Linked DNA regions of Drosophila melanogaster. The protein of the gene in region 4 interacts with the protein of the main gene of each other region in a pairwise test. Each region holds a gene or a part of one and is shown on either strand. Other genes may lie near its edges. The genes, in order: CG31224, Gp150, CG7886 and CG14071.

Region 1 (7,206 bases), on a different chromosome or scaffold from region 4:
CAGCGGGAATACGAAGCAGATGCAAGCACGGATATAAAATTCTACAACCCGCGAAACACACATGCCGTGGATCTTTATTTCCGTGGCGAGAAAACCGCCAAGGTGATGGGAAGCCTCGCAGCCAAGAACTCGGAGGTGGGAAGCAAACTCTCAGGTGTTCTGGTTAAGCGCGACTTTAAGTACCACCTCTTGGCTCCTTCTGATCTGGGCAGTAAGTAATAGTTAGTTAGTTTCTTTGTAAAAATGTCGATTCATTTAAATAATTCCCACAGAATACACGGATATGAGCATGTCTGTTGTAACCCAACGCCAGTCGATTCCCTGGGGCAGCTCGCTGAGCACTCTAGAGCTACTGCTGGATCGCATTGGAGCCGGATGCGTTGAGGTGCTGGAGGCGGAGCGAAAGCTGCGCGTGTTCGGCTGCATCGAGCTAACTGTGGAGCAGAAAATCATTGTGATGGAGTGGCAAGCGACGCATGTGAATGATGTGTACGCCGATGCCGTTCTTGCCTGCATCATGCAATCGGAGTTGGGCGGAACAAATCTGAAGGGTGCCACAAAGCAAACCAAGTCAGAGGACTCGCGCTTTCGGGAGTGCCTAATCGAGACGCTACAGGACACCTTCGGCGACAACTGCGTGCCAAAAATGTTCGAGGGCGATCTGCTGCCAGTGACGGTGAGCGGTAAACGTGCGGAAATAAATCTGGAAACCCTGGTGAGTGTTCGTCGAAGGTGCTTTTTAAAATCGAAAAATATCGTTAATCTACAATCTTTCCAGGCCATCAGCTGTGCCGAGGATGATGTGCTGCGACAAATGCTCAATACGACGGTTCAGAAGTTACACCAGACCCTAGTCTCCGCTCTTTGAAAACCATTCTATTCCGCTTAATAAATCTCCTTGTGTTGAAATGTTCTTTTTATTAATTGATTCAATGTTGAAAGTACTATAGTATGCATGAGCGAAATGGTGATTTTTCATTTGTTTCAGCCAGAGTAGTTTCAGCGCTGGGTACTCTTCGCAATCTGCTCTTTGAGCATGACAATACTGACCCGTTGCTCGGAGGGCAGCTGCGCAATCTGTTCGTCGGACAGCTGCAGTACCTGCATGATGAGGGCAGCCTTCTCCTGGTCGGAGGCATCCGAGGGCAGGACTCCATGGGCGCCTAGTCTGCTCTGCAACTGCTGAGCGGCCGCCTGCTGTTGTTGTGTCGGTGGCGGCGCTTGGGGGATTCCTTGTGGCGGCGCCTGCTGCTGAGGACCAGGTCCTGCCCTTAACCTGGGATCCATGGGACGCTGGCGCGGATCGCTGGGATAGGGGGCCGGTGGCGCCTGCGGAACGCCCTGCTGCTGCTGTGGGGGCATCTGGGCACGAGCTCGGGGATCCATCAGCGGCGGTGGCACTGGATTGGGTAGAGAAGCTCGCAAATCCTGGTCCATGCCACGGCCCATCATCCTGGGATCCATCGGCATGGGTCCACCCGGCACCATGCGCAAATCGATATCGTTCGGATGGACATTGGCCGGGAAGCCAGGTCCGGGAACGGGCATTGGTGGCTGGGGAGCCTGTTGCTGTTGCTGCGGGATCTGCACCTGCTGTTGCGGAACCTGTTGCTGACCCATCATGGTGTGATTCCCCGGCCCCTGGTGCGGATTGCCGCCCAAGACGGGGGGCATTTGGTTGGCCTTGAAGAGCATCCCGAGCGCCTGCTGAGGGTCCACGATCCTCATAACCACCATGGCCTGGAGCAAAGCGTACGCCAACTGAGGATTGAGCATTAGCATCTGGCGTGCCTCCGATGGATTGCTCACGATGCAGAGCTTCATCTGCTTCATCAGCTCGTACATTTGCTCCGGCGGCAAGGAAGCCACCGTTTTGGTGATGAGCTCGGGAGCATCCTCTGGTTCGCAGGGCTCGCCATAGGGATTCTCCACCTGGGGTCCCTGAAGCAGCTGCTGCATCTCCATGCGCGACTTCTCCGTACACGCGTTGTCCACTCGCAGTGTTCTGCCGCCGATCTCATAGCCATTCAGATTCCGCATGGCACTTAAAGCCGTCTCCTGGTCCTTGTACTCGCAGAAGCCAAAGCCCTTGGGTTTGCCACTTTCCCGATCAAAGACCAGTCTGGGGGATTGAGAATAGGAGGTTTACAGTGAGATATTGCATGGCTCTAAGTAGGGAACTCACTTCAGTGACAAGACCGGGCCCACTTCGCTGAAAATCTCCTTTAGCTTCTCCTCGGTGGCCTCGTAGGGTATGTTCCCCACAAAAACCGACCGCATGGACTTGTCCATTATACTTTGTTCCTGCGCCTTATCTGCCATATCTGTTGTTTGTTATTATTTACTGCACAAACTCGACAAAATCTTAGCAAACGTTGACAAACTTGTCTAAAAAATTCCCTGCGTTCCGGCTTGCTGTTTCTTCTTCTTCCTTGAATAATTTCCCTTACCAGGGATTCATACTTTTCATATACTTTTTGGGAAATAAAGCGGTATGGGACGCAAAATATTAAACAAAGTGTAATAACAGATACGCAAGCCATTTTATTTTATTTTCTTATCTAAACACCTGAGAAAATAATTAACAGTATTGGTCTAATTTTTGGGATTCTCATCCATTGCCATCACTTAGAAACGTAGTATTTAGCAAGAAAATAGCTAAATGCCCTGCTTAGCCAAAAATACCACCACTGCTAGTGCTGGTAAGTTCCCGCAGCCCGCATACGTTTTGCAGCACTCCAACGCCTGGTGTTGTAATTTTTCTTGTCGCAAGGTGAAAACGATTTAAACGGTTTTTGATAGTGAAAAGTGCACCAATATGCACGAATTGTACACCAAATTGTAGATGAAAGTGGCGTTTATTCGTTTTCTATGCGGCAATAGACAAAAAACGGCTCGAAGTGCATGAAAAACGTGCTTGAAAATATTACTTTGTGTGTAGCCACACGCACTCCAACACACACAAACGCACACACACACAGACAGAGGGAGATAAACGCAGCGATGGCCTCGCAGTCGCACTCGCACATATAAAAAGCTCGCTTGTATATTGGAAGAAGGAGCGCACAAAGCGGAAGACGAGAGGAAAGATTTCTGTGTCATTGAACGAGAAAAAGAAGAGAAGAGAGCCTCCTGGCTCCTGGTCCTCCTGTTCCAGTTCCTCCTCCAACTCCACTTCCTCTTCATCTTTAAGCGGCCGCAGGTGCACCACGCTCTTTACATTTCCAAGGATACGCTCTCAGCCGCTCTCTCTCTCGATCGATACTGGTAATTAGCTGGCGTCCTCTCTTTGTGGAAGTGTCATTCCATTCCATGGACGAAACGAAAACGAAATCGATGGCAATGGCTGGTGAACAAAAGCGGAAATATGTGCATTTTTAAATTGTGTGTGTCTGTAATTATGTGAATAATAATCAGCAGAAAAAAATCGTACAATAAGTGGCAAGATCAGCGACATTAACGCACACAAACAAGCGCGCGTGTGTGCACACTGGAAAAAAGGTTGGCTGGCGATTGTTGTCGCTGCAAACTGGGATACTGGAATAAATCATAATGCATTTACGCACCGTGTGCTCCTCAATTTTTCGACAGTCTGTGTGTGCATGTGTGCATGTGGGTGTTGTGTGTGCGTGGTGTGTGTAACCTTTGGCAAAGGAAAAATCAATAGCAACAGACGTAGACATTTGTTTGCCGCTGTTTATGTGCAGCCCTCGCATTGTCCTTCGCCCCCAAAACAAAGAGCCACCCTTGCAGAGATGGCCAAATCCCAAAAAAGAAACAAGTGAATGTTGGTCTGCAGACAGACTATAAATAAAAGCAAAAGTTATCGCAAAAGGCAAGCAGCAAAAGGCAAACCAGATGAACGGCCAATAACTCGTCAGCAGGCTGGGTCTGGGTCGTTGCCTCTTTTTTTCCGATTCTGATTCCGTTTCTTCCTGCTGCTCTGGCTCCCCGAGAGAAAAAAGCTGCTCCAGAAGTTGTCTCACCCATCTGCAACCGGCATTCCAATCCGCCATTTCCATTGCCCAAACAGGACCTTCTAATCAGAATTCTTATGTTGCTCTACTCAGAGAATGTGGTTAATATGAACGGATTCGAATATAAGACATGGCTTTACTAAATCAATAGAATCGATTTAAAATGGCACCTCTGATTTCGAAAATGTGGAATCGACTTTAAGGGTGACTGTGTTGAGGTTGGGTCTGCTTTGTGCTAGAAAAGTTTATTGACTCTTGTTCTCTCATTTTGATCCTTTGCGATCCTCAATTATTAAATATGCCTTGTATGTTTAATTGTACTTATTTGGTAGCTTTCTAAAGAACAAAATAATTACTGGTAAACCAAAATCATTATAATCATCATATTAGAAATGCACTCGCTGTTGAAACAATTTTATTTTTATCATGCTTTTATTTTGTTGGCTTTTAAAGAAATTACTCACTACAAGAAACTTCCAACGAACGTTTTTTTACTGATTATTTGTGCTACCCCCGATAGTAAAACATTTGTGGTTTTAATTGAGTTACTTTCAACAGTTAGGATGCACGATGTGCGAAGGGTTCTTCCAGTCCAAATCACCTTTCTATAAGAAAAGTAGGGTTTATTATTAAATTATCAGCTTTATAAATTTGGATTGGTTTTGTAAAAAGACGCGTTTGTTAAGATTAAACATTACGCATTCCGTGGATACTTGATCACTTGGATCGCCGGACGGCGCATTCTTCGCATATCGGGTATCGTTTCACCGAAGACGTTGATATCGGAGCGCAGAATGTGCCCAGGGACTGGTACAGTAATTTCTGGCACCAACATTCTGACATTCTTTATATTCTCCAATGCAGCTCACCCGCGTCGAATCAGAGGATTGAGCAAGATGGACGCCAAGCCAAGGAGATACGCTGTTTTATGACTCTGAAGGGCAACCACGCCAGTCATCCGTCGCACTAGAAAGCTAGAAGCCAGGCTCCCAGAGAGCAGGAGCAGCCAGTGAGCAGGAGTAGGAGTAGGCAGGAGCCACACATAGAACAATCTAAAATCGTCATCATGGTCGACAACAGTGTCCAATGCCCCGTGTGCACATTGTACCTGCATGCGGGCATGAATCTCTCCGATCACTTGGAGACCCATCCCAAGGAGCAGGTGATCAAGGCGCTGGTGCAGATGACGATCGTTGGGAACGGTGGCAACAGCATGGGCAGCGTTCTCGCTGCCGCCATGTTGACAGGAGGATCTGGAGGAGGTGGATCCAGCGGCGGCGAAGCCAGTGCTGATGAGAAACCGGCCGTCTTATCACCCCCTTCTGGCGGCGATGTCAAACCAGTCGTGGTCAATACCATATCAGCAGCAACAGCGCCTGTGCTGCCACCAGCACCACCACCGCTATCCTCCTCCCTCGTGGCGGCCTGCTCCAACGGAGCCGCCTCTTCGACAACCAGCTCCACACCCACCTCCACCTCAGCAAGCAACAGCAGCAGCCTCAGCAGCAGCAAACCGAGCAATCCACCGATGAAAGCACTGAAATGCTCACCGCCCACAACTGAGGCGCGAGCCAGCACATCCGCACATCCCACCACGAGCAGCGTGTCCACTTTGTACCAGCCAGCGCAGGTCACTCCGGATTATCGCTTCAACCAGCAGCAGCAGCAGCCGCAGACGTCGGGCTTTGGGCGTGGTGTCACCACCTCAACAGCCGCGCTGGTGATTCCGCAGGTGCCTCAGCAGCACTTCCTCGCCAGCCATCAACAGCAGGCTCACTTTCCACACCAGCAGCAGTCCCCGCAGCAACAGCAGCAACATTCGCAGCATCAGCCTGCTCTGAAGTTCAGCTACGCCACAGCTTTGCCCCCACCTCCGCCGTTGCAGGTGAGTCCGAGTCCCAGAAGTTATTTGTCCCGTCTTAAAGGGTGCAATCAAGATTTAATGCAGTACACCTTTGAAAAGAAAGGGGTAATATTATTTACGAAAAGTATTAAGAAACAAAATTAAAATGTATACCCACTGTACCCTTTATGCTTATATAAATTTAGTATTTATTTTCGAATTGAATTCCGTTCTTAAGCAACTCGAATTTCTTTACAGCTATTTACGCAGCAACAGCAGCAGCAACAGCAGACGGTTGTTCCACCGCAGACCCAGCAGCAATCGCACCAGAAACCACCTCCCGCCTATGGAGCCGCCATTAGTCAAATACGATCTCAGCACAACCAAAACAAACAGCAGCCACAGTCCCAAAGCGTGGCCATGCAACCCAACCTAGCCCTGGCACCAACGACGACATCAGCGGCTTCAACTTCACACGCAACTGCAGCTGTTAAGCAGCCCAGTAAACCTCATACGGAAGTATTCCTGAATCCCCCACCACCGCCATCGGCACAGCAACAGTTGCAGATCCACAGTTTAGTGCAAAATCAAGGTCAACACCATCAGCATTCTCACCCGCAGCAGTCGCAGCCGAGCCAGCAGAGTCACCAACAGCCACCGAGCTTGCAGACCTACGGATTAGGGGTCAGCAATAGCTGCAGTTCCTCCAACAACCCCTCGACCTCGGGATCTGGTCATCGTGCGAATCGTCAGACAAACTCACCGTTTGGAGCACTGCTTAATGCTGCAGCGGCAGTGGCCTGCGCATCGCCGGCCTGTCCCACCACCTCATCTTCGGTATTGAGGTTTGCAGAATCACCGGTGGCACACTACCTTGAGCGGGAAAATGGTGACTTCATTGTCCAGGAGACACCGAAGCATATTGTAGAGTGTGTGGAGAAGGAAGACGGCGAGTTTTCCGTGATCGAACGCATTTATCAATCCCCGCCGAGTGTTCTGCACATACACGATGATGATGAGGATGACGAGGATGAAGAGGAGGAGGACGAGCATGATGCTCCGCCCGAGGAAGAAGACGGGGACGATGAGCGGGAGGAGAACAGCCACAGCCGTAATATGAGCAAGACAACGAAAAAGGCCCGTAAGACGAAGCCGAAGCGAGGCTCCAAGCGCATGTCGGACGAGGAGGAGTTCATGAGCCTTAGCAGCGGATGTGAGAGTGATTTGGAAAAGGAGGGTAAACAGGAGCAGCTAAATGCAGCGGCATCACTACCACCTCCATTGTGCACGGCTCCTTCTACAAGTGCTGCGGCTGGAGCTTCCACCTCCAATCTGGCGGACAATCATTCCAATTCCGCGTCCAACTCTGCCTCCAATTCGAACTCC
Region 2 (10,217 bases), on a different chromosome or scaffold from region 4:
TTCTCCAGCAGCGATATACCCGCCTTGGTGGAGGGAACCCTGCCCCAGGAAAGGATCACTAAGCTAGCACCCAGGGCGCAGACGCAGGAAAACCTGTCGCAACTCTTTGAGAAGTCCATGGAGGTCTATTAATTTGGAGCCAAAACTTACCCACGCTCAACTTGTTCTCTTGAAGAAAAAAAAATGTTAAACTAACGGATCTTCGTTTAAGATCTGACCATACTTGAGCTTTCAAAATTCTATTTTTTTTAAGCGTATAAAAAGCTTAGAGTGAACCATTTAATTTTGGTTGGACTTGTGTATATACGAAAAATACCATTAAAAACCCTATACAGAATCACAGGAAATTTGATGCCCTGCTTGATTTTTGTTTACTTTATGTTCTTTGTCGCAATGGATCTTATGTACATTCAGCATTATTTTGTGGCCTCTTTTTTGGTCTGCACTTCGTTTGAGAATCCTCTACTCAGTTTGCTTTCCTAAGCTGCAGGAAGAAGACCGACGCTGGGACCAAAAATACTATGATATAAGATATTAATATTAATATAATATCATACAAATCATACATGATATCATATCATTAAAACAAAAAAAAAAGGATTAAATCCTACAAATTAGTTGCTCCAAAAAAAGCTTGTAATTTTTGTAATTATAATATATTTTAGACTGAAACATGTTTGAGTACTCCTTCATGTTCGAATCCTCCGGATGTGAGGGTAAATTTCTAGGGATGCCCTACGACGGGGAATTCGAGGCAATGTGGCAGCAGATCGGCAATGAACTCCGTTCCAGACATAATCGCTTCCTGGGAATGCCGTTCGATAGTGGATTTGAACGGATGTGGCGGCAGGTCAGAGAGGAACTGAAACGGGATCGGGAAGATAACGAATTGGCACTCTGTTTCCAGCGGAATTTGAGCACCTACGTAAAGGAGGAAGGGGATGTCGGTCAACTTGAGTCTTTTATTGAACGCAGATAAAATATATTCAATTTTATTGAAAGGCATGTTATTGTTTAAAGTACGTATGCAAGTGTGTATGTCTATTAAGTATGCATTGTAAAGATTACGATCGGTTTGGTTAAAATAATTTATTGTTTTCGGAATCGGTTTCAATGTCGAATAGGTCAAGCTGTTACTTGCCTTCGATTGGAAAAAAGATAATAAAAAAGTCTTAACATAGTTTATGCATTAATTATTTCTCTCATCTCTTGATCATATTAAAAATCAGACGTCATTCTAGGGAGTCTCCTAACCGTTTGCTACACAGACCCGCATCTAAAACTCTTACTACTTTCTGTTCCTCGCTCCTCGTTTCTTGTTCCTGACTTGACACTCAGTTTAGAAACCTTAATGTGTTTAAGTAATTTTCGCTCGGTTTGAATTTTGGCAAAATGGCACTAAATCTTCAAGTTGTTCCCGGATATGGACTAATTGGATACGGATTGTGGGCAGAGGTTTGATAAATTGCAAATCCGTTGCTTTCGAAACGGTTGCTCATCAAACGCGTTCTCTGAAAGCCCACCTCTGCTGTTGCCAAGGACCTTTGACTGGTCTTAACAGTATTTGATGGTACAGGATATTTCAAGGATAAAGGATTTTGTCAAAGATTTATTCTCTCTCTTTCAATCTCTTATTTGGATTCAAGTATTTTTTAGTTGTTGCTTTGTTTCCTCGCACTTTCGCTAATACTTTTAACTGCCACCTACTGCTCCTCCTCCTGTTTCTTACATTCTTGTGCTTGTGTTTAGTCAATTGTCTGATGTGATTTTCCACTTTTTCAACTATCAATATACTTATAAATTAGAAAAACAGCGCAACTCGTTCGATTTCCGCGGCCACCGGCCCGGAACTGCTGATTCTAGGTGGACTTAGACCTGATTGATGGGCGCGTATCGGTGCACCTTTGGCTGCTTCAGATGCTTGGGCTCCTTCTGCTCCTTGCTGGTCGGCTTCACGATGTCCTCGCTCAACTTCTGGTATACGAACGAGTTCTTTGAGGCCAGCAGCGCCATGCGATAGCGCTCGCCGCGCTTGCGCAGCACCACGTAGATCACTCGGGCGATGGACAGCACGATCATCAGGAGGCAGAAGGACACGACGATCAGTGGGACCACCAGGTCGTAGGATAGTTCGCCGTGGAAGATCATCTTCTCGGTGTACTCATCTGACTCCTCGCTTTCGCTGTCGAAGCCCAGTTTCTCTGAGAAGGTAAAACATACGATTGGAATACATTCCATCAACGAATGATTGGCTAAAACTTACCCAGAAGGAATTTATCACGGGTCTCCTGAGACATGTCCACTTCCTCCGCCTGGATACCATCGGTCTTCAGGACTGGCTTCAGTTCCTTGTTCACGAACGTGTCGAAGGCCTTGTTAGCATCGGCCTTAGCCTTGGCATTCTTCTTGGCCTCCTCGAAGCGATCATCATCGTTGTTGTCATCATCATCGTCCTCATCATCGTCATCATCATCCTCCTCACTGTCATAGTCACTGCTGTCATCCTCCTTATCCTCGCCGCCATTGTTCAGATTCTCCTCGTCAGCATCTTCCTCAGGCTTCGCGGTTTCAGTGTTCACCGATCCCTTCATGATCTTCTGCATGCTGCTCAGCCTGCTCTTGTCTAGCACACTCTTGTCCAGGACACTCAGCAACTTAGCCTCATCCTCGTTAAGCTTCTTCACGCTTTCCTTCAGACGCTTCTCCAGTTTGGCTTCGGCACTGTCGGCCTTCTTTTCGTCCAAGAGATCTGATCCTTCGGCATGCTTGCACACCTCGTGGGCCAAAGACGACCAACCAGCCTGAGCCAGAGTCTCCAGCTGCACAATAGTAGCATCGTCCTCCAGATTGGCCAGCACGGGCAGACGCTTGGGAGTCATCTGCATCTGAAGAGTGACGTAGCTGATGAACTCCTGGAAGTCGGGAGTGCACTTCAGCGGATTGTTGGTGATATCCAGAGAACGCAGGTTCTTGAAGCTCTTCACATCCTCCGAAGAGATCTTCTTGATCAAATTACCAGAGGCGTTAAAGGAGCGCAGGCTGTCAAAGATCTTGTAACCCGCACCCAAGTCGCGATCGGAGAGCAAGGTGGTAAGCTCGCAGTCATTGACGTCCAGGCATCGCAGTTGGTGCAGCGGCAGGAAGAGGCGGACGGACAAGCGGCTAATGGGATTTCCAGCCAGACTGAGCTTAGTCAGCTCTCCGTTGTCCATGAAGATCAGATCGTCCATGCGGGTGATCAGGTTGTTGCTCAGATCCAAGTCAATCAGCTTGTGCAGTCCAGTGAAAATCTCGCGCGGCAGATGATTAATGTTGTTCCAGGCCAACTTCAAGGTGGTCAAATGCGGCATAGTGGAGAAGGCCTTGTGACCCAATGGACCGATGGCGCAATTGGAAATATCCAGGTAGTAGACGGTGAACTCCCCACTGTAGCTCAAGAAGCCATCGGTGGGCAACTGGCTCAGACGAGGATTGTCGTTCAAACGGATCACATCCAGCTCAGAGTTCTTAAAGAACAGCATTCCCGAGATCTGGTCCAGATCGTTGATGGACAAATCGATGTGGCGCAGGTTCTTCAAAGTAAGGAACGAGTCCGGTTGGATCTTCTTAATGCCATTGCCCTTGAGGTTCAGGTTGGTCAGACCGGGCATCTTGTCGAACATGCTGTGGTGCACTTGGACAATCGAGTTAAAGCTCAAGTCCAGCTGCTGCAGATCCTTGGTGCCAAAGTGCAGATCGCCATTGAAGGTATTGTACTTCAGGTGCAGTATGGACAGGGTGGTGCCATTGAAGATATCGCGGGGCAATTCAGTCAGCGAGTTGTAAGACAGATCCAATTCTTCCAGAAGAGTAACCTTCTCGAAAGCCTTCTCGGGCAGTTTCTTGAGACTGTTCTGGCTCAAGTTAATGTAGACGACATTGGATAGATGGGAGAAGGCCTTGGGATTCAACTCCATAAGGTTGTTGCGCGAGAAGTCCAGCTCCTCAATGCTGGAAGACTGCAAAATTATAATTTATTAGCTGGATTTCAAGGTAAAGGTTTTTGAAATCACTCACCTTCAGCAAATAGTGAATGCTGGACATCACACTCAAGTCGTTACCCGAAATGGTCAGCATGCGCAGTTTCTTGTTTCCAACAAAGGTATCGGGATTAATGATAGCCAAACCAACATCCGTCAAGTTAACAGCGTACAGCTCGTTCAGTCCGTGGAAGGCCTCGGCGTGCAGGTACTCCAAGGTGCAGTTGGCGATCTTGATGGAAGCCACGTTCTTAAGACCCAGATTCTGGAAGAAGTTGGGTCCCATCAGGATGGGGTACTTAGGACCCACATTGGTCACAACCAAATCCGTAATGTCAGAGCCAAACTTCTGGATGCCCATGTCAAGTCTGCTGCAGGTGGCCACCAGATAGCTGTTGACATTCCGGGCACACTGGCAGAATCTTGGACACGGAACGTCCTCGCTGAAGACAACTTGCTCATCATCGGTCAAAAGGTCGTCAGCGGCATCGTCCTCGTCATCATCATCATCCAGACCCTCGTCGTAGTCATATTGAGAGTCGCTGTCGATATCGTTAGCACTCTCTTTGGTCTTTTGGTCGTTGGATTTGCTCTGTAAAGTACGAAAACATATTTATTTGAATTTAAGGATGATGGGGGAAGTATACCTTGGACTTCGTGATGGTGGCATCCACAATGGGCTGCAGCTTGGGGTTGCTCTTGGCCTTCTTGGGACTGGGGGAAATCGTCACCGTCTCCTCATCGAAATAGTTGTAATCATCATCGTAGTCATAGTATTCGCTATCGTCGGTATCGGTGGAGTTCTTCTCCCCGGCGGCGACGGTAGTATTGAGCATCTTGTTGAAGTGTGGATCATCAGCCAAAGCTTGGCTGTGCTTGGCCGCCTCCATCAGATCATTCCAAGCCTCCTCGCTAAGGGACTTCTCGGTGCCGGAGGACGTGGTTTTTTTTGTGGGGCTCCTGGTGGTCGTCTCCACGGGTAAATCCTTTACCTTGGGGGTGGAGATTTTGGGCAGACTCTCGGTCGGGCTCACCTCCTCTCCAGAGTTCAGCTCGTTTTCCGTCAGATCGTCATGAATGAAGTGGATCTTGGGGCCCACGGTATTTGAGTGGCTGGCGTGGATTAGGGCCAGGGTAAAGGCCAGCAGCAGGACTAGCCTGCAAGTCGACTGGCGACTCATTTTCCTGTAGATGGGCAAACTGAAATGGACCAGGAAATTCAACGTTATACAGTACAGTAATGGCCGCTTCTGAGAAAATGACAAAAACAGACGACTCACACCCAACGGGCCCTATCTTATCGCTAATTGCTGGAGCCAGATAAGTAGATATGCGTTTATTGAATCAACCACATTCTGGAGAGGTGGCCGAGCTCATGGCTGGTCTCAGAATGCGCACATTGTCCACCTATTTCCTTAAAAATCACCGATCTGCATGACGAAATGGTGAGCCAAGTTGACTGCCCCAATTAGCACATTGGCACCCGGAGAGTTGACATCATTTCGCATGCTAATTTAGTAGGTACACTACATTCGAATCGACGAATTTCCAAATGTTTGCTTATCGTTTAATGGCAATTGTTTTGCACCCCATATGATTCGCTGCGTATTTTCAACACGTTACTCAGAATCCAGTGAAAGCACAATTCGCACTACCGTATCCGCAAAGTACTTCCCTTATTGATTAGTACTGTATACATCATCTAACAGTAATGCATATGCCGAAAATAGTTTCTGGAGAATTGCTGACTCTCAATCTCGCGATTCGAGTTGGTCTGTCATCAACTGGAGCTTGTTTATTTGAGTTTCAGTTTGCTTGCCCTTTGATTGCACGCGACTGGTTTGGTTACCCTAACTAAACGATTGGGTAATCACATTGTGCTTTTTGGAATCGATTCGATATGAGGGAATCCCCACTGAGCGTTTCTTGACGCCGATTATGAACTCGTTTGCCAGCTCGCTGATTCTAAGAAATTCTCAAAACCAGACTGAAAACTCGACGCTCTCCAGGTCTCTTATGCAATTTACGTAGTTTTGGAATGCATTTTCCACCCATTCGATGCGGATTCCATGGCGGATGGCCCTATTGAAAGACCGCCTGTGTTTGCCTTCGTTTTCATGGCAAAGCAAACACATAATTCGAGACCGTGGCTCGCCGAGTGGTAAACAAAGAGCTTTGGGTATTATTGCTTTTCGTAACCAGGCAAACGACCCGGGATCGCGAGAGATCCGACTCCGCCAGCAAAGTGTAAAATGCAAAATGCGCAGTTAAGGCGGCCAGAATAGATCGCATTTATCCAGCCAATACACAGTATGGCGGCTATGGGAACATATGTGCGCACATATCGTATGTTAGAGCATTTCATTAGACCCCACAGCAAACCGCTTAGCAGCCAGCTCCGCGTTGCGAGTGGGTGTCAGGTTGACTGGGAGCCTGACACAAGCGCGAAGGGAAAACTGCAGTCTCGAGATCGCATTAAACGTGTTTAGGTCTCTCGGCTAACACATTTCATCGAGTCAAGAAAGACAGCGGTTTTTGGCTCGCTTGAAATTGGCTTTGGCTTTAGCTTTGGCCAAGGCGCCGCCGACACTCCGACCATAATTAATTCCATTTCTGTCATTGCAGCGATATATGTATGTATATATGTCTGTATACACAGATGTCCGCTTGAACTGGGCTATACGAGGGTAGACTCTGTTCAAGTTTAGAGAGAAACCGGTAACTGGCACTGGCACTGGCCATACTTGTACATGTATGCAAATACGTTTTCCACTCGGAAATTCGTGAGTCAGCCAATTCATCATATTGCTGCGGCTATCTACAGCTGTAAAGATTAGACTAGTCGGGATATATCCAATCGGTAAGCCCCATCCCTCCATTGATCTGTCTCCCCCGCCAGTAAATAAAAATCTATAACTGAGTGCTTTGTAGTGTCGTGCATCTAATTAACGTCCAGCTAATGGGGAAATGCTTTCCTGAAACTGTTTCTAGAACACTTTGACATTCGATCGAGATAAACCCTGATCTGGCCCTGTCATACATAATGGCCCCGTACTTAACGTAACCCGATACGGAAACACTTTGGATCGCTTCGTTTAAAGGCACACTTCCACAGAGTATCAGAGTATCGCCTAACAAAATGATTTCGAGTCTTGATACAAGACACGATTTGTTTAAACGTAAACCTCTATTCAATTTATTAGTATATTTTGATTTGGCTCCATTGGTTGTCTTTCGGTTTTTATCAACTGGTTCACAGACGGTTGGCATGTGGTCGGTTTTGTCAACAGATTAGAATTATAAACGCTTCCCATGAGACCCGCCAACCCACATTTAAGTATCAAGTTACCCAGAAATGTCATGTGGATTGGAGAGCAGATGGGGCCCGGTTATCAAATTGTGCATGGGTGCGTCGTCGATCGGAAATTGGAAACTGGGTGCGACCCTTGGGCAGTCAATATACCAAGTATATGCCCGAAAAATATCTGCATTCCTCTGGGTAGAGAGATCCCGTTGATTAGCAAGGTTGGCTAATGAACCTCGAACTCAGGTAGTTTCGCCTTGATTCCGTCTTACGATCAACACAAATGTGTCTCTGGCAAATACCAAGAAATACCCAAAATAATGCGATCATGAGTCTGTGTGCGTGGGCAGATAGTGATTGAGATGTCTGGGTAAAAATAGCTGGCGTTAACAGGAAGTGAAACGAGAGAAACGGACGTGTAGGTAGAATATTGCATTTTTTCGGGAACTTATGTGTCCCCTTTAAAGGATATCGATTCATGGAAAGAGTGGAGGGACAGGCGAAACGGAAATGCCTCAGCTGATGCCTTCATTAGGGTGGCTCAAGCCAATTTCATCCGGCTTTAAATCTGCGGATCACGACATCGTCAAATTTGTTGACCGATTCATTAGCATCACGAGTTGCTGCGGATTTTGACGATTTACGATTGTTATTTCTGCTAGAAAATACACCACTGGCCAACTGCTCAGATATAACATTTCCATCTATATATCATAGTGTATCCCACTCGGTTGAAGCCATTCTGGAATATAATTTCTGCAACGTTAATTTTTTGCAGCCAGGCAGACAGGCAGTACAATGGACAAAATTGCCCAAGGCGTGCACATAAAAAATAAACACAAAAGTATAAAAAATGCCGACATTTGACCACACAGACTAACACGCAGTTGGCACAAAAGGTTGGTACAAAAAGGGGGAAACTGTTGGCTCACAAAGATGGCCAGACTGGTTTTTGGCTGGAAACTGCCACTCGAACTCGGAGCAGATGTGTGAGCCAAGTTAGCCCGGTGGCAGCCAAAAGTCAGGCAGATGACTTTACCAGTTACGAAAAATTCTTGCTAAAAGCCATTTCAATTCGCTCAAACTCAAACATTTCGAAAGGGAATTTCTAAATAATAACCGATGGTGTCACGTTCGAGTTGCTTGAACTCTTCGCACCGAATGTGCTCTATTACAATCAAAATAAAGTCGTTAATGTTTACGTAAATAGTTTAATCGCAATGACACTTTGTAGTGTCTAGTGTGTACATATTGTCTGTAATACTATATGTAGTATATAGTGAGAAGTGTCATAATCAATTAAAATTGCTATTCGATTATAGGAAATCGATTAGCTTATCTAAGAAGGTCACTGGAGCTTAAAAGAGACGCGTACTTGCCAAGTCGGCAAACTAATTACACTTCAGGGTAAAATTTTGCAGCAGCTGCAAGTTCGTGTGAGCGAAACGACATTTCTCAGTTAAGACCTTTTCAAAATTTATCGCGAAGTAATGCCTTCTGATCGATCGGAAATAAAATTGCACCTTGTGTGCTGCATTTTAGTCGATAAAGTGCATTTGCTGTTATCTGAGGGAATTCCCTGCATGGGAATTCAGTGATTAAAACTCCATAAATTGATTTCAGCCATTCGAATCCGAGTTTTATGCCTGCTTCCTCGCCTTGCCAGCAATTGCCCTTTGTTTGGATCGATCGGTGCACCGTATATATAGCCCTGAATCTGAAGCAGGAAGCGTAACATAAATTAAGAACTTAAGGAGGTGGTGCAAATGAGAAACCGGCTTTCACCTGGCGGGGGCGGTTCATTAGCGATATCTGTATCGTATTTCGATCCCAGCTTCCGACTTTTAGAGTGCCGGATAAGTCGATTCTAGCAGTCTGGCTTGTGGCACGACTTTCTGCCCCCAGCTGAAAAGCTGGAAAGCGCTTTTCATTGTGCTTAGTCGTCGGAAACCTGATTTGTTTACCCAGCCGAGTGTGATTTAAAAAAATAAATCCGACCTTTTTGCACTAAACTTTGCACTCGAACGAGGCTTTGTTTTCAATAACAAAAGCGTTCCGCCATCACGTATTGGTTATCGGTCGAACGAGCGTTTCCAGAGACAAATGCCTGGAATTGTCAACCCGTTGAGCCATCTACAATATATATTTATTAAGTGTCGAGTGTTAAGAGGCTAGAACTCATCACTGAGCGTTGAAAGGCACTGATCGCGGACTGTCAAAAGGCCTGCAATCAGCGTTTACACTCATCAAGTTAATGGAATTAACAAAGAACAGTTTTGCTTGCCATTGGTAAGACTACCATGAAAATACAGTCTAGGTGGGACAAAGGAAAGCTCAAAAGTGTCCACTTCTGTTACCTCTTAAGCAATTTGATCAATAGCGTATCTTCCTAATTAGACAGTTTATGGTTCTACATAATATTTACGTTTGGTTTTGGTTTTTTTGCAGCATTTATCGCTTAAATTAAGGGCTGGAATGGCTGCATTTTGGCCTCCACCAACGTAGTTGGCCACGTTCCATGTGGCAGGCCGCATTCCGAGCCTCAAAACGGCTTGCACAGCACGTAAGCACACTCCTCTGAGTCACTTTTAGCCAAGTCTCTCTGCATTTCATTAGCCCGGGCACATGGGCATATGTGTAGCCAAGTCCAATGCAAGACCCTGAACCCAAACTTTGAGGCTGTGAAATCGGCTTAAGATCTGGAGATCTTGAGTTATGGTCAGACCAAAGCAGATCAAGGCAATCCCGCAAAGAGATTCAGCGTCCAACGCCCCAAATGCTGGGTTCCAATGTACAATTGCAGAAGAGGAGAAAGTTGCAGTCGCGCAGAATAGGGCCAAAACATTTACTCAGTTGTCAGCTGGTTTCGTTTGGCTTGGGACCATCGGTGACTA
Region 3 (7,440 bases), on a different chromosome or scaffold from region 4:
TCAAGTGCTGGATGAAAATGATAATAACCCAAAGTTTCGACTTCCCTTTTACCGTCAATCAATTACGGAGAACAGCATAAACGGGGCAATGATTGTGAATGTGCTGGCCTCAGATGTGGACAAGAATCGCACCATAACCTATGCCCTGGAAGGAAATCCCACGTACCGATCACTAATGCATCTGGATCCGCAAACAGGGGAAATTGTGGTGGCCAGCAAGATTGACCATGAGCAGCATCAGTGGCTAAATTTCAGTGTGAGGGCCACGGATTCTGGAATTCCAGCAAGATCCTCACTGGTGGATGTGTATATAACAGTGCTGGATGAGAATGATAACAATCCCTACTTTGTGGGTGGCAGCAAGAACTATACGATTAGTGAAAATGCAGCTCCAGGCACCAGAGTTGCCACTCTCCAGGCTGGAGATGCGGATTCGGGAGATTTTGGCAAGATCACCTTCCTGATGGATCGCATCAGTTCGCAGGGAAAGTTTACCATAGATGCAGACACTGGGGTGCTAACGGTGGCCGATCGTTTGGACAGGGAGTCTAAGGATTCCTACAACCTGGTTATCGAGGCCTGGGATAACTATCAATTCGGATTCCTGGCCGGAGAAAGTCGCAATGCCTTCAAACAGGTTTTGTAAGTTATAAAAATTTAAGCATTTGACAAATTTATTTCATTTAGCTCTTTCAGCATTTCCATACTCGATGAGAACGATAATCCACCAGAGGTTGACTTGCCCATGAGTTGTGTTTTAATCACTGAGTATCACGAGTTGCATGAACGAGTGGCAAGCATAGTGGGCAAGGATGCAGATGACCCCACTACGCCAAATGGTAGACTCGATTTTGCCATCACTCGGGGTAACAAAGATGGTAAGGATTTGAAGGAGAATAAGTCTTTCAATCACTAAATATATTTGCACTTAAAGGTATGTTTGAGCTGCGCCAGATAGACGCTTGGAATGCCCAAATCTTCGCTAGCAAAAGTTTGCGCAATAGATACGGAAACTATAGCCTTACTATAACTACGCGAGATATGGGCCTTCCAGCCAATATTGTGCACAACACCTTGGATATTTGCGTATCGGATTTCAATGATCACGCTCCGGTTTTTGTGAGGCCACTTCATAACACCACTGTTCGCATTCCGGAGAATGCGACTGTGGGAACGCTGATACTACAGGCATATGCCAGTGATGGGGATATGGGGCAGAATGCTTTGGTGAGATACAGACTCAAACCCGATCCATTGGGCAGCTACAAAATGTTTGAAGTAGACGGCAGCACAGGGGAGCTCTTTCTGAAGGAACAACTTAACCGCGAAAAGCAGAAGATTCACGAGGTAAATGCCAAATCTCCTTATACCTACAAATTTTAAAGTATAAACACACAAAAGAATATACTATATGATATAATTTTCATTACAGATACGTATAGAAGCCTATGATCAGGGATTGCCAACCTCACTGAGTTCAGACTTGGATCTAACGATTTATGTTCGGAATGTTAACGATTATGAGCCTCAGTTTATGGTTAACGAAATATCCGTAAACTTCACGGAGCACTCGGATCCAGGATCCGAAAGAATAAAGCTACCGGACACCATAGATAAGGATCAGTTGGAACTGGACGATCCGAATGATACGCCCAGCCAGGTGTGCTACTTTATAGTGAATGGAAACGAAGCGGGATACTTTCGTCTCGATCCCGAAACCCATATATTGACTGTTGACCGTGAACTGGATCGCGAGGTGATTGCCAATTTTACGCTCTATGTTCGTGCCACTGAGAATTGTAGAAATGATTCTATATCTGGTGGCGAAAAACGTCGTCGTATGGGAATCGAGATTAACAATAGATTGGGAGGCATTGTGCATAACCAACAGTTTGGATATGATCGTTTCAAACACTCTCGACAATTGAGATCGACAGAGAGTAATGAATACGGACCAGAAGATGCAGAGCTGTTATCGTATGAAGCCTATGACAGTAGTCAGGAGGATCCAACCGGAGGATTGGCAACAACCCATCCAGAACTAGATAGCACTGTAATAAAAGTAAAGGTGCGCGTGCTGGACATCAACGATAATCCACCGAGATTCCGTTCTAAAATCTTTACTGGTGGTATAACGACCAATGCTGATTTCGGTTTAAAATTCATGCGAGTGGAGGCTACGGATGCAGATGAAGGAGATAATGGAAGGATTGGATACTACCAAGTGGGTGAAATCCGACAGACTCTTTCCGAGGGATTGGAGAACGTACGCAAAGCTCCCTTCCTTCTCGATCAGGAAACCGGAGAAGTGCAGCTAAACTTTGACCCACAAAAGGGAATGAAGGGCTATTTCGATTTCGTCGTTTTGGCCAACGACACCTCAGGAATGAAGGATGTGGCCCATGTGTTTATCTACTTGTTAAGAGAGGACCAAAAGGTGCGATTCGTGTTTAGACTTCAGCCGGACGAACTGCGATCTCGAGTGGACTCCTTCAGAGAGTAAATATTGAGTTGATTTTAAAGTATAACCCCCCTTCTAATGTTATTTCCATACCTTAGCACCCTGAGCAACATAACAGAATCGATTGTAAACATTGATGAGATTAAGGTTCATGAGAACAAGGATGGTTCGGTGGACAAGACAAAGACGGATCTGTACATGCATCTAGTCGAGCGGGAGGATAACTCAATCTACGAGGTATCCGAGGTGCTCAAACTGATTGACTCGCACATCGAAAGCCTGAATGGGCTATTTAAAGAGCTCAACGTGCTGGACACGCAGGCGGCAGAGGCTCAGCTCCTGACCGCGGGACCCAGCCGAGGTCCTTTATTCGTGTGGCTGATTTTCACCAACCTCTTTCTGGCCACTCTACTGGTAGTCACTATAGCACTTTGCGCCTCTCAACGGAATGGATACCGCAGGCAGCTGAGAGCCGCTAAAGTCAATATATTCCGTAAGTAACGATTAGGATAAAAGATAAATTAATATATTTAATACACAAATTCCATTTAGGTGGTCACTCCTCGATGTCCCTGCAAGACGCTCAGGAGCCGGCCACTCGAGTGCCAAATACCAACAAGCACAGTGTCCAAGGATCAAATCCTATTTGGCTAAAGGGTTACGACAACGAGTGGTTCAAATCAGAAGAAAGTGGCAGGTGCGATAATAGAGGAAATCACTAAATCGTCCCTTACTTAAATATATAACACTTATTTCTCCATAGTATTGGTGGCCATGACTCTTTGGATGATAACTTTCTGGCCGTGGCCACACAGGATATGCACGAAACGCTCAAGGGAACTGCCAAACTATTCAACAACAGCAATGATCTTAATCGGCACTTTAATCTATACAACCAAATCGACAAAATGACCAACAATGCTCAGATCCTGGCCCGAAAACTGGAGACCACGGAGTTATAGCACCAAACAGTCCCCCCCCCCTCTTATTTATGGCACTTGGATTAAGGATAGCTTAAGTTCAGCTTGTAGGGACCATGTAAATATATCGAAGCTTAAAACACAGTTTTAGTCCTGCTATGTCCTACGACATACGCATTCGTACAAATTAAGGAAATTGTATTAGCAAATAAAGTAATAATTGTCGGTGATAACTACATATTATTTAAATCAATTTATGCGGGAAAGAGTCATAGCGCAAATATACAGAATATGCTGAATTGAACTCACCTTTGATTCAGTTCCTCAGTTAGAAAGTAGTCGAGAGCTTTGTGGTTCCGCAATGATGATATAAAAATATACGTAGAGCACAACTGGTGGTGAGGAGTCGGTTAGTGGGGTCGATGGTGGAGCATGTGGCGCCCACTTACCACGCTATTCCACGTATCCCCGTGGCGCCACTCTGAAAACTGGCGGCAGCTTACAAACGTACAAAAAAAGTGACTAATCGGGGAGACGGCAGCTCAGATAGGCATTTGTATGCATTACAACCGACAGCAAACGACACGCCTGCTAGGATATGATGTAATAATCGCTGCATACGGACAACCCAGAGTAGGAAATGCCGCCACATGGCACTCACTCACCTTAGCAAAACGGGGATAATCCGGACCAGATCTGGTCAGTTTTTGTCTCTTTTGCACTGGACTGAATGCTCCTTGCGATTAGATGCGATTGGGTTGGTGGTCGAGCAAGGAAAACAAAATAGAAAATAATAATTTTCAATATAACCTTTGAATTTGAATCCTCGACCACAACTCGACGAAACGCACTGAAAGAATCCTGGGAAGGATTAGCGGGTTTCTTAATTCGGCGGTTCTGCTGATGTTTTTTGTATTTTGTTTTCGGGAGTTACTCGGAGTATGTGTCAAGGCAAACTAACTGTTTCCTAGGAGAAAATTATGTTGTTAAACGAATGTGAGTCTATGAAAATCTGGTCACCGCCTGCCGAGATTCCCATTCCCGATACCCAGCCATCAGTTCCCCATACCGATTTCCCATTGATCAATGACAAGCCAGGATGCTTTGGTTTTTTTTTTTTACTAAAAATACTGTATTATATTTTCAGGGTAAAATATTCTGTTGCCATAAAATCAATCAATTCTTTTTTTCATTTGCTTTGATTTGTTTTATTTTTTTTTTTTTTTGCTTCGTTTTCTTAAAGTATTTTGTATTTCTTTTTTTTTTCGTTTATAATAGTTACACAAATTAGATCACAAAAATGCACGTAAATTACAAAATGAAATTGTACCTCATACCGAAAACAGACAAAACTTCAAATGGTGAAAAAGAGGCGGCTACTGGAGGGATGCGGGGTTGTAGGTTCATCGCTACAGTTCTTACAAATTAAAGTGTTATAAAAATAGGGTTTAAAGCATATAATCAAATACATGGTTTTGTAGTTTCGCTACAAAAAGGACATTAATTTTGTTCGCGTCACTTGCACAGCGAAGTAGATCAGAGTAAAGTGCGGGCCAACTCAATCGGTAATCAAGTGAACCCGGTAATCGGTAATCAACTAACTCAAGAACGAATTCATACGTTTATATAATATATCTATATAGGGTTTTAGAGATAGAGAGTGAGAGTGTGGGGGAATTATTATATATCATATTTTACAGAGTTCCATTATCTTTAAAGTAGTTCCTTCTGCTCTATCGTTTCGCTATGCCCAAACGAAAGTTCCTATGAAAGATGCAAGTGTTTGAGTGTGCCATGGGTGGTGCATTAACGTAATGAAAATTCGATGCGTGATACATATACAAATACATAGTTATCTAGTGTAATTAAACGTTTTTCATTCATTTAATACTTGCTTAGACTCCGCGTGACAGATGAGAAATGAGAAAACTTACAATGGATGGAGATGGAATGGTTTGGGTGTGAATTTTTTTGTTTTGTTTTCTTGAGGGCTGTGATTTGGGGATCGGTCTCCAGTGAGCGGTATATATCGTATTTTAAAGCGTAACAGTTTTCTTGCTTGTTTTGTGTATTGTTGTATAAATATATCTCGATTTATAAGTTGCTGCTTGTCACTAGACTAAAGAAAATTACAATTCATTTATGTTCTATATAATATTTGTTAATTTACATAATCTAGAATAGACAAACGCATGCTAAAACTCAAAAATTGTCGGTCAGCCTAATTTTGCTTTTAAAATTTGTTAGGCTTAATTAAAATCGAACAAAGTTTGTGGCCATCGAGCAATGGCTAAATAAAAGAGCTTAAAAATAAATCAAGTATACACTTTTACAATCTGTTAATTTTTTTTTGTTATAGGGTTTTCTTTTCTTTGTTTGTGGGTTGGTTTAAATTAAAGCTTACACTTAAAAGTATGTGTACAGATATATTAAGTGGTATTATGTATATATAGCTATATTTTATATATATAAGTATATATAGTTGTATATATATTTAGTAATACGATTCGCGGTTTCAAACTAGTCCCTTGTACGTTGTATGTATGTGTGTTGGTGTTTAGGTGTGGGTGTGTATGTGTATGTGTATTAGGTGCAAACCAAGAACTAAAATCAAACTAAACAATTTCAGCTTCACCTGTTTTGTTTTCGTAGTTCTTGCAATTCTCATTTGAGTGTATGGTGTTGTGGTTGTTGTTGTAAATGCGTTCACAAAATTTTTAAACAAATTTTAGGCTTGTTTATGTTAACGAACTTTCCAATGTATCGCGTTCGTAACTTTAATTCAGAATTCAAAATTTGTTGCTAGATTTCCTACAATTTCGGTTTCATTTTATCTGTTTGCTCTGGTATTGTTTTATAATTTCTCGTTTATATGTATAATAAAGCTGATCTCTACAATCCTTTTGTTGGTTCACTAACAAATTAAGTTACGTTAAGATGTACGTAAAGCTACACCTCTCCGCGAATTTACAATATTATGTTTTTGCGTACGGATACATATACATTTCATTCTTAATGTTGATTTAAAGTTGAATTTAATATTTTTGGACATTTTTTCAAATTTTTTACTTTTTGTGTGTGTTTTTTTTTTTGTTTTTCACATTAACGCATAACTATATGGTTTTTGAATGCTATTTTATTCATGCATATCTGCTGGTGAATGCATGCATAACATTGAAGCTGCATATAGAAACATTGTGCCAAACTAGAATCGCAGGTAAGAAATGGCCAAAAAGAAAATACCGAAATTCTAAGCGAAAACTGCCTAAAAGTGAATGGGAAATCAAGCTTGAAAATCTCTCTCTCTGTCTCTCTAAATGAATCTGTAAATTCTGTAGGCCATAAATCCGACCTGATGCCGGAATTAGGTCTGCACCAAGCCCCGGATGTCGGAGGCGCCGTTGCTGCTGCTATTGCCACCGCCGCTGCTGCTGTCCCCAAAGAGGGGAGGAGCATCGATGCCGGACGTGTTTGGTGAGTGCATCACAGCATCGGCCAGCAGATCGTCGCCGACGTCCAGGAAATCGTTAAGAAAGGCGCTGTCCGCCGAGCCGCCCATTGTCTGCTGTAAGGCCCGGTCCAAAGCCCGGTCCATAGCCTCGCACTCGGCTTGTTGCACTGCATAGGCACAGGTCCAAGGCGATGGCGGTGGCGTTGGCAGCGAAGGCACACATGGATTAGTACAATGAAAAGCTGAACAAGTAAAATTGTGGTTAAATACACACCGGATTGGAACAGCTCGTTGAAGGCATCGTCTGACAGCGTGTCGAACACATTTACCAGATCGTGCTCCTCCAGCAAGTGGGCGCCATTCAATGCTATATCATCTGGAAGAGAGAAATAACGTGTCAAAATACTGAAAAAATCTTAGGGAATTTGTCCAGCTTCCTTCTATATATACATAGCTATTATATGGAAGTCATAAAAGTTTCACCGTTTTGAAACTTACCAGCATCGTTAGTGCCTATCAGCTCCGACTCGCTGAGACCGCCCAATCCGGTATCCTCGGAACTGGCGTATGCCGAGCTGTTCTCGCAAATACCAAACATGTCCTGGCCA
Region 4 (6,087 bases):
TCAATACACTTGGCCAGACCTTGTAATGGAGGTGATTCGAGGTGGGAAAGGGGGATGGCTAAGGAGGTATTCGGGCGCATATTATCATGCCCAGCCTGAGCACATGTAATTGCCATTAAATTGATGTGATTGAATAAGCCGCACAAAGGGTTTTCTCGTGCAAACCACACACATTCAACGCCAGCAGAATGGGCTGAGAATATGCAAGAAAATTATAATTTAGCACCTACGAATTAAATACAATGTGTGACAAAAAAATGTAGAGAACAAGGCTTACAAAGACTTATCTTTTCTTTGCGTAGATAATATATTTAGTTTCTTTTCACAAAGAATCCCTGCAAACAAATAGTGTGTTCAATTTACTATTTACTTACATTATATTTGCTTTATTCTGTCCACTTTTTTTTGTTGCCATTTATTTGATTTATGTGTGTAGCGGCTGTAACCGGGGTGTTTTTTTTTTTTTATTTTCCCCATTGTTATTACATGGCACAAATTTTCTTATCTCCAACCTTATCGGACTGACCGTATTTTATGCCTGTGGTGGCATTTCTTGGTGTGCCAAATGTGTTTGTTTGGCAAGCAAATTGAAAACAAATTGTACTACATGAATTTAAGCAATCATTTCTTTTTTTGCCACTTATATTTGTATGTGTAGCATTGAAGTATATTCGTCAATTATCAATAGAAAAATCGGTTGCCTGGTAATTACAAAAAAAATATATATATTCATAAACGAGTATAGCGGGTCAAATCATGGTTGAAGTTTTTGTGCCATAGTCCTTTTTATGTTCTCAAGTTACAAAACCCATGGTATAGGGCTTCGAGGCGAGAGCCTTAAAAAAAAGGCAACGCTGATGGGTATAAGAAAAGAAAGTTTAACACTTGCTCATACTTCTGTTTATTCAAGGTTGGCTTAGAAACGCAAACAAAAAAAAAAGGTGACCGTCATTTGTTTTCTTGACACTTTTGAAGGCTGCTCAACAAGAGGCGGCTTAGTCTTTTTTTTTTCATTCTTTCTTTCTTTTTCCTAAAGGGTTTTGTGCCAGTTTAAACATTTTCTTATACTCTTCGCATTTTTGCATAATGCTATTCTCTTGGGCGACCAAAAGGGTTTTGTCACTAAATAAGTCGCAAGTTGATATTAATAACATCTCATTATCGCATCGTTCTAATTTTCAGCGCTCAGATGAAATATGTTCGCAACGTCAATTTATCATAATGAAGACAAACGACGAGAAAGGATGACCTTCAAAAAATTATTATCCAAGTTTTTAAGTTGTGGCACTTGTAATTGATGAGCTCAACATTTCCAGATTGGCTGGAAAGCGATTAGCGCAACGAGGGAGTTTTAAAATGTGCTTTTAACAAACAGGAATCAAAATTAAGTAAAAATATGAAATACATCCGACATTTTTCGAACCTTCACAAATGCTTTGTTAGTGCGAATTTTCCAATTGACTGGGATGAAAGGCAATCAGAGTCACAGCGGTACAGACCCAAAGTGTCTTATTTTCGGTTCACTGGCCAGAATGGTCGAGATGATTGACTTCATGCAAATGTTCTTGTTAAGACCCATGTCTGGTTGGGAAATTTGCATTTGGCTTGTTTGACCAGTCTGGCTGGCACGGGAATAAAATTGAAATTGTTACCTCGTCGTCGAACGCTTCAATTTAATTAATTAGAGTACAGGACAGGGCCCATAAGTCTGGCTTTCTTCAAATATACCTCGACTTCCTTCTCAATTCTCCGACTATTAATGTTTAACCAAAGCAAAGTAACAACAAATATGCAATTGCATCCTTATACATGTAAGCGCAGACCATTTTGTGGTCCCCTTGGCAATTAAAGTTACAGTTTGGTATAGAATTGTTTAAGTTTAACTTTATCCAAGTAGAATTAATTTCTTATGTTTCTAAACATTTTGGGGTTTTATGTAAAGTCAATATATAACATATGCATTTTTGTTTTGAGCTGTAGTTTACTTAAATATATTCAGTAAATGGCGACCATTTTCAATGCACAGGAAATTCCATAAATTTTCAAGCTTCAGCTTTATCGATCCGGCGAGTCTATATATTTGCAGCGCGTTGACACCGCCAGACGCTCGGCATTATTGAATTTATGCACTTAACGATAGAGTCAGCAGAGTGTAGCTGCTGCCGCAGCGGATGCTGTTTCCGCGACGGCAGTGGCAACATTGCGTATACGCAATTAAATTTGCAGTGTCTTCTGGCTCGCATTGGATTGTCTGTGCGCGAGTGCATAAAGAATTACCGGAAATGAGATTGTTGCGGCTTTAATTTCACCCAAAATGATTTAAGATGTCCAGCGGAATGTGTGAATGGATTTCGCGTTGCATCGAACGTGGACTTCATTATCCAAAAGTAACACATATTTTACTGATTATCGACGGCACACGGGTACATATGGCAAAGCTGGAGAATACAAATACATGTTTACATAGCCCTTGCAATTTCGAATCATTTAACATACTTGCAAACTTTACTTGCACATTAAATCGAACTGAAATTTTCAAGATACACATATGTAGAAGTACAACGTATGTAATGGTTAAATACATATCTTCACATTGAGGCGGCTGCTGCCGATTCCTCATTAGCCACTGTGATGGCCTTTTCAATGACTCCCTTCAGCTTCCTGATGTCCGCATCCAGGTAAATAAGGCGCTCGTACGTGGCAGCCAGCTTGTTGATAATGCTACCGAGGTGATTCCTCAGAATTTCCTGCAGCTCGTCCTCGTTGGGAGCAACGAATGGCTGGCCACTCAAATTGCACTGGAACTCGTCCTCGGCCAGCGCCTCTGCCAAATTATCCTCGGTATCGTCCTGCTGCTTGCGCAATCGGCTCAATTCGTGATCCAAATCAGATCGCTCGATGGTCATGGCCTCAAAGTCGGCCATCTTTTGATGCAGTTCCGGATGGAGTACCACGCCCGGATTGATTAAACGACCAAAGCCCTTTGCCGATCTGGACATTGCTGCACAGTGTAGTTACGCCGTTGAAAGGAGTTTGTGGTTTTCTACGTGGAGCAGTATTTGATTTAACTTAGCAATAAATTTGTTCCTTAAATCCGAACAGTTTCTAGCTACCTACTTATGATTGGTAAATATGTGTTGCTGGCGTCCACTGAATACTCGAGAAAAAACAAAAAGACTGTAGTTAAAAAAGGAAATAGATCATTACATTCAAAAATTGTTTAAGCCGAAATGCATTACGAGTAGATGATAGCAGAAGCATTGTAAACTATCATTCAAATAGTTATTTTTCGTACTATCTCTTTTTAGTGGACAAGAATGTGTTGAAGTTTAAAATTTTCCACGAGTTAACGGCACAAAGATATAGTTTCTTTTTGTCCCTTCTGCATTTATATGCTAATCAAAATTTGGCAATCAAGGGAAGCTTTCTGAAAGAGAATCTTGCCATGCATTTAAATAACAATAACAGCGGTCCCTTTTGAGGTTCACGTGTATATTTGAAGTGGAGAATATTTGGGAATATATACAACTCAGGGCGCGTGTCCTAATTAATAAGACCACCTCGACGCCATCATTGCCATTTGAGCCCAGTGGATTTTTGCTCCTTTTTTTTTGTTGGTTACAAGAATTTCCCAGCGGCATTTCGCGAAATGCAAAAACAACAAGCACCGAAACACAATGGACAAAATGATGAAAAGAAACAAAGGAGGATAGAGATATCTCATTATGGACAAAAGCAGGCCAAACGAGTCCAAAAATAAAATGAAAAATTATGCAACCGAAACAAAAAACAAAAAAAAAAAAAACCCAGCTGTCCTGTTTATCCTCCTCGTCCTTGCAAATCGACATCCGCCCCTTGACCAGTCTGCGTATTTCACGAATTTGTTTACAGCTCTCGACGCGGAGATCCTGGCTTTGAGGTCCTGCGAAACACGCGTGCCGAAAATAATCAAAATATAATAAGCAGACTCTTCAAGGCGCTGCCAAATGAGGCATGTAATAATTTTTGCCCTGCCCAAATTCCCAGTCCCTTTCCACTGGCCGTAAGATTTATGGTGCGTAGTTTTGTGCTCTGATTGTGAGGTAGTATGAGGGGTATGTTGTTTCATTTATTTAGCAAACAAATATTACACATGTATTTATTCAAGACCAATGAATTATAATTACATCTACACTAATAATTAATATGCAAATTTGCATTCGAAACTGGTACCAATTATAATAATGAAAATACATATTAAATATATATTAATAAATATATCTTTGTTTTTTTGCTTAAAAGTATTGTTAACAATATCACAATGATTTAAAAAATGGCTACCATTTTTACTATCTGATATCTGATCATCTTCGACTTTTCCGTTTTAAACTCCTGCACGGTATATGATATTCGGTAGACTCGATTTTCGGACCAGCCCCGTCAAATTAAGCAATTTCCAACTCAGTTATGGAAGTTACATTTTTACGAGTAGTTCACAAACAATTCTATCCACTTGGATTTTTTCATTTATTCGTTTGCTCTTGGCTTTGCCAGCTTAATAGGCTTTGCACACTTTTAGGTTATCTTCAGTCAGTCAGTAAGCCGGCTTACTGAAGGATTTCATGGGGTTTTCTCCGAACATTTCTCTATAACTCGCCCCTTAAAATGCCAAACAATGTGATGAGCAACAGCCATTGGCATCTGCCTACAGTTATGCAAATCACTTGCGGGAAAATTTAGCTTGAGTAACTTCCACTTCTTGCTTGCGCCACAAGGTGGTCAGTTGAAAATTGCGAACGGAAGGATAGGCTTGGATATTCGTCCTTGGGAAATGAAGGAAATGGGGGGGGGGGGGGCTAGAATGCGTGCACCTAGTTTGCCCTAATTTCCGCTTTATTTGGCAAATATATACGTTGCCGGTCGAGTGCTTTTTAATAAGTTAGTTGCCCGACATTCACGCTGCTCTGTTTTCATCTCGTCGCTCTGTGTGCTCTCGCATAATTAAAAATGTACACACGTGCGCTCACAAGGAGACCGACCACGTGTTAGGGGGTCTGGTGGGTGGGAGGTTGGGTGGTTGGTATTCTTGTGGTTTACCTGCGGTAAAGGATGATAGTAAGTAGGGGGAAGGGTGGAGTCCGGACTCCGGACAGGTTATATTTACTTGCCGCCCAGCTGCCTCGCTGAAAGTTAAAATACAAAAAACCTGCGCATCATCATTGTTGCTCGGGGCGTATACTTAATACTCAGCAGCGGAAACCAGGAGATGAAGTCGTCGAGTAAGCTGAAGAGCTCACGCGGAAACTTTTTGTTAAGAAAATAAATGGGAGCTCGTAACATAAGACAGACTTAATAAAAACGTAGTAGTAGTAATCTTAACTATTGGAAATTTAACACGTACGTGAACAATTTTCATTTATATTTAAAATAACATTCAGATTACTTAATTATATATTTCTTATTAACCTAATTAAATTCTATTTTGAATTAAACCCTTTTGGTGTGACAGGTAACCGTGGAATTGCAATAACTAAATGCATCAAACACATGTTGCCCATCTAATGTTCAATTCAACAGAAAAATTTCGCACGGAAATTGAGTAAAATGAAAATCAAATGCGCACAAATATCTACCCAATATGTTTGACAAACATTTGGCTGGTTTGGATTCAACGATGGGAAAAATGAAATTTGGAATATATGAAGGTATGCGAAACTCACAGCGCAAAAGATAAAAAACTAACGAATTTTTTTATGAAACATGCTGCTATGTGTTGTTTTTTATAGACGCATTCGCATATAGTAGATAGTATTTTTTATGAAAATCCGGGTAACCTCTTTTTTTTGGTGCTTAATTGGGGAAGTCTGCTTTCGCGGAGGTGGCTGATATTTTGAGGGTTTTGTGAATTTCTGGTTGAAAATCAATTAAAATCGTTATTCAATAATTGCTTGCATGCAAAACCAGTTGCAGAAACAAATGCCATTAATTAATTTTAATTCTAGCTGGATGGTTGGCTGATTTACCAATTGAAAGTTCATTTCAGCTGTCATTTGGCGGTTAATTGTGAAAACTTGATTAACATCGGTTAATTGACAGTTTGGAAACGGT

The links.
Region 1: the proteins of CG14071 (region 4) and CG31224 interact in a two-hybrid assay, tested with the Drosophila melanogaster proteins (one large-scale study listed by BioGRID).
Region 2: the proteins of CG14071 (region 4) and Gp150 interact in a two-hybrid assay, tested with the Drosophila melanogaster proteins (one large-scale study listed by BioGRID).
Region 3: the proteins of CG14071 (region 4) and CG7886 interact in a two-hybrid assay, tested with the Drosophila melanogaster proteins (one large-scale study listed by BioGRID).

Annotation. Positions count from the first base shown.
Region 1 is NT_033777.3:18,654,821-18,662,026, reverse strand, and holds the start of CG31224 (uncharacterized protein), read left to right. Parts: upstream 1-2,717; 5' UTR 2,718-3,267; exon of another isoform or gene 3,268-3,501; intron 3,502-4,841; 5' UTR 4,842-5,043; coding exon 5,044-5,862; intron 5,863-6,078; coding exon 6,079-7,206. Other genes in the region: Cpsf73 (cleavage and polyadenylation specificity factor 73), read left to right, coding at 1-211, 273-715, 779-868; CstF64 (cleavage stimulation factor 64 kD subunit), read right to left, coding at 1,000-2,122, 2,186-2,322.
Region 2 is NT_033778.4:22,320,177-22,330,393, reverse strand, and holds Gp150 (Gp150), read right to left. Parts: upstream 7,492-10,217; 5' UTR 7,425-7,491; coding exon 7,369-7,424; intron 5,277-7,368; exon of another isoform or gene 5,220-5,276; coding exon 4,667-5,219; intron 4,612-4,666; coding exon 4,057-4,611; intron 3,999-4,056; coding exon 2,264-3,998; intron 2,202-2,263; coding exon 1,870-2,201; 3' UTR 980-1,869; downstream 1-979. Other genes in the region: T3dh (type III alcohol dehydrogenase), read left to right, coding at 1-132; CG34207 (uncharacterized protein), read left to right, coding at 674-979.
Region 3 is NT_033777.3:14,638,190-14,645,629, forward strand, and holds the start of CG7886 (uncharacterized protein), read right to left. Parts: upstream 4,375-7,440; 5' UTR 4,047-4,374; intron 3,970-4,046; 5' UTR 3,831-3,969; intron 3,774-3,830; 5' UTR 3,691-3,773; intron 3,588-3,690; exon of another isoform or gene 3,424-3,587; coding exon of another isoform or gene 3,225-3,423; intron 3,159-3,224; coding exon of another isoform or gene 3,014-3,158; intron 2,955-3,013; coding exon of another isoform or gene 2,560-2,954; intron 2,500-2,559; coding exon of another isoform or gene 1,433-2,499; intron 1,348-1,432; coding exon of another isoform or gene 935-1,347; intron 879-934; coding exon of another isoform or gene 697-878; intron 643-696; coding exon of another isoform or gene 1-642. Other genes in the region: Cad88C (cadherin 88C), read left to right, coding at 1-642, 697-878, 935-1,347, 1,433-2,499, 2,560-2,954, 3,014-3,158, 3,225-3,423; l(3)L1231 (lethal (3) L1231), read right to left, coding at 6,746-6,999, 7,107-7,208, 7,331-7,440. UniProt on the Drosophila melanogaster protein: May play a role in cilium biogenesis.
Region 4 is NT_033779.5:10,885,780-10,891,866, forward strand, and holds CG14071 (uncharacterized protein), read right to left. Parts: upstream 3,149-6,087; 5' UTR 3,000-3,148; coding exon 2,589-2,999; 3' UTR 2,497-2,588; exon of another isoform or gene 2,490-2,496; intron 2,439-2,489; 3' UTR 1,866-2,438; downstream 1-1,865.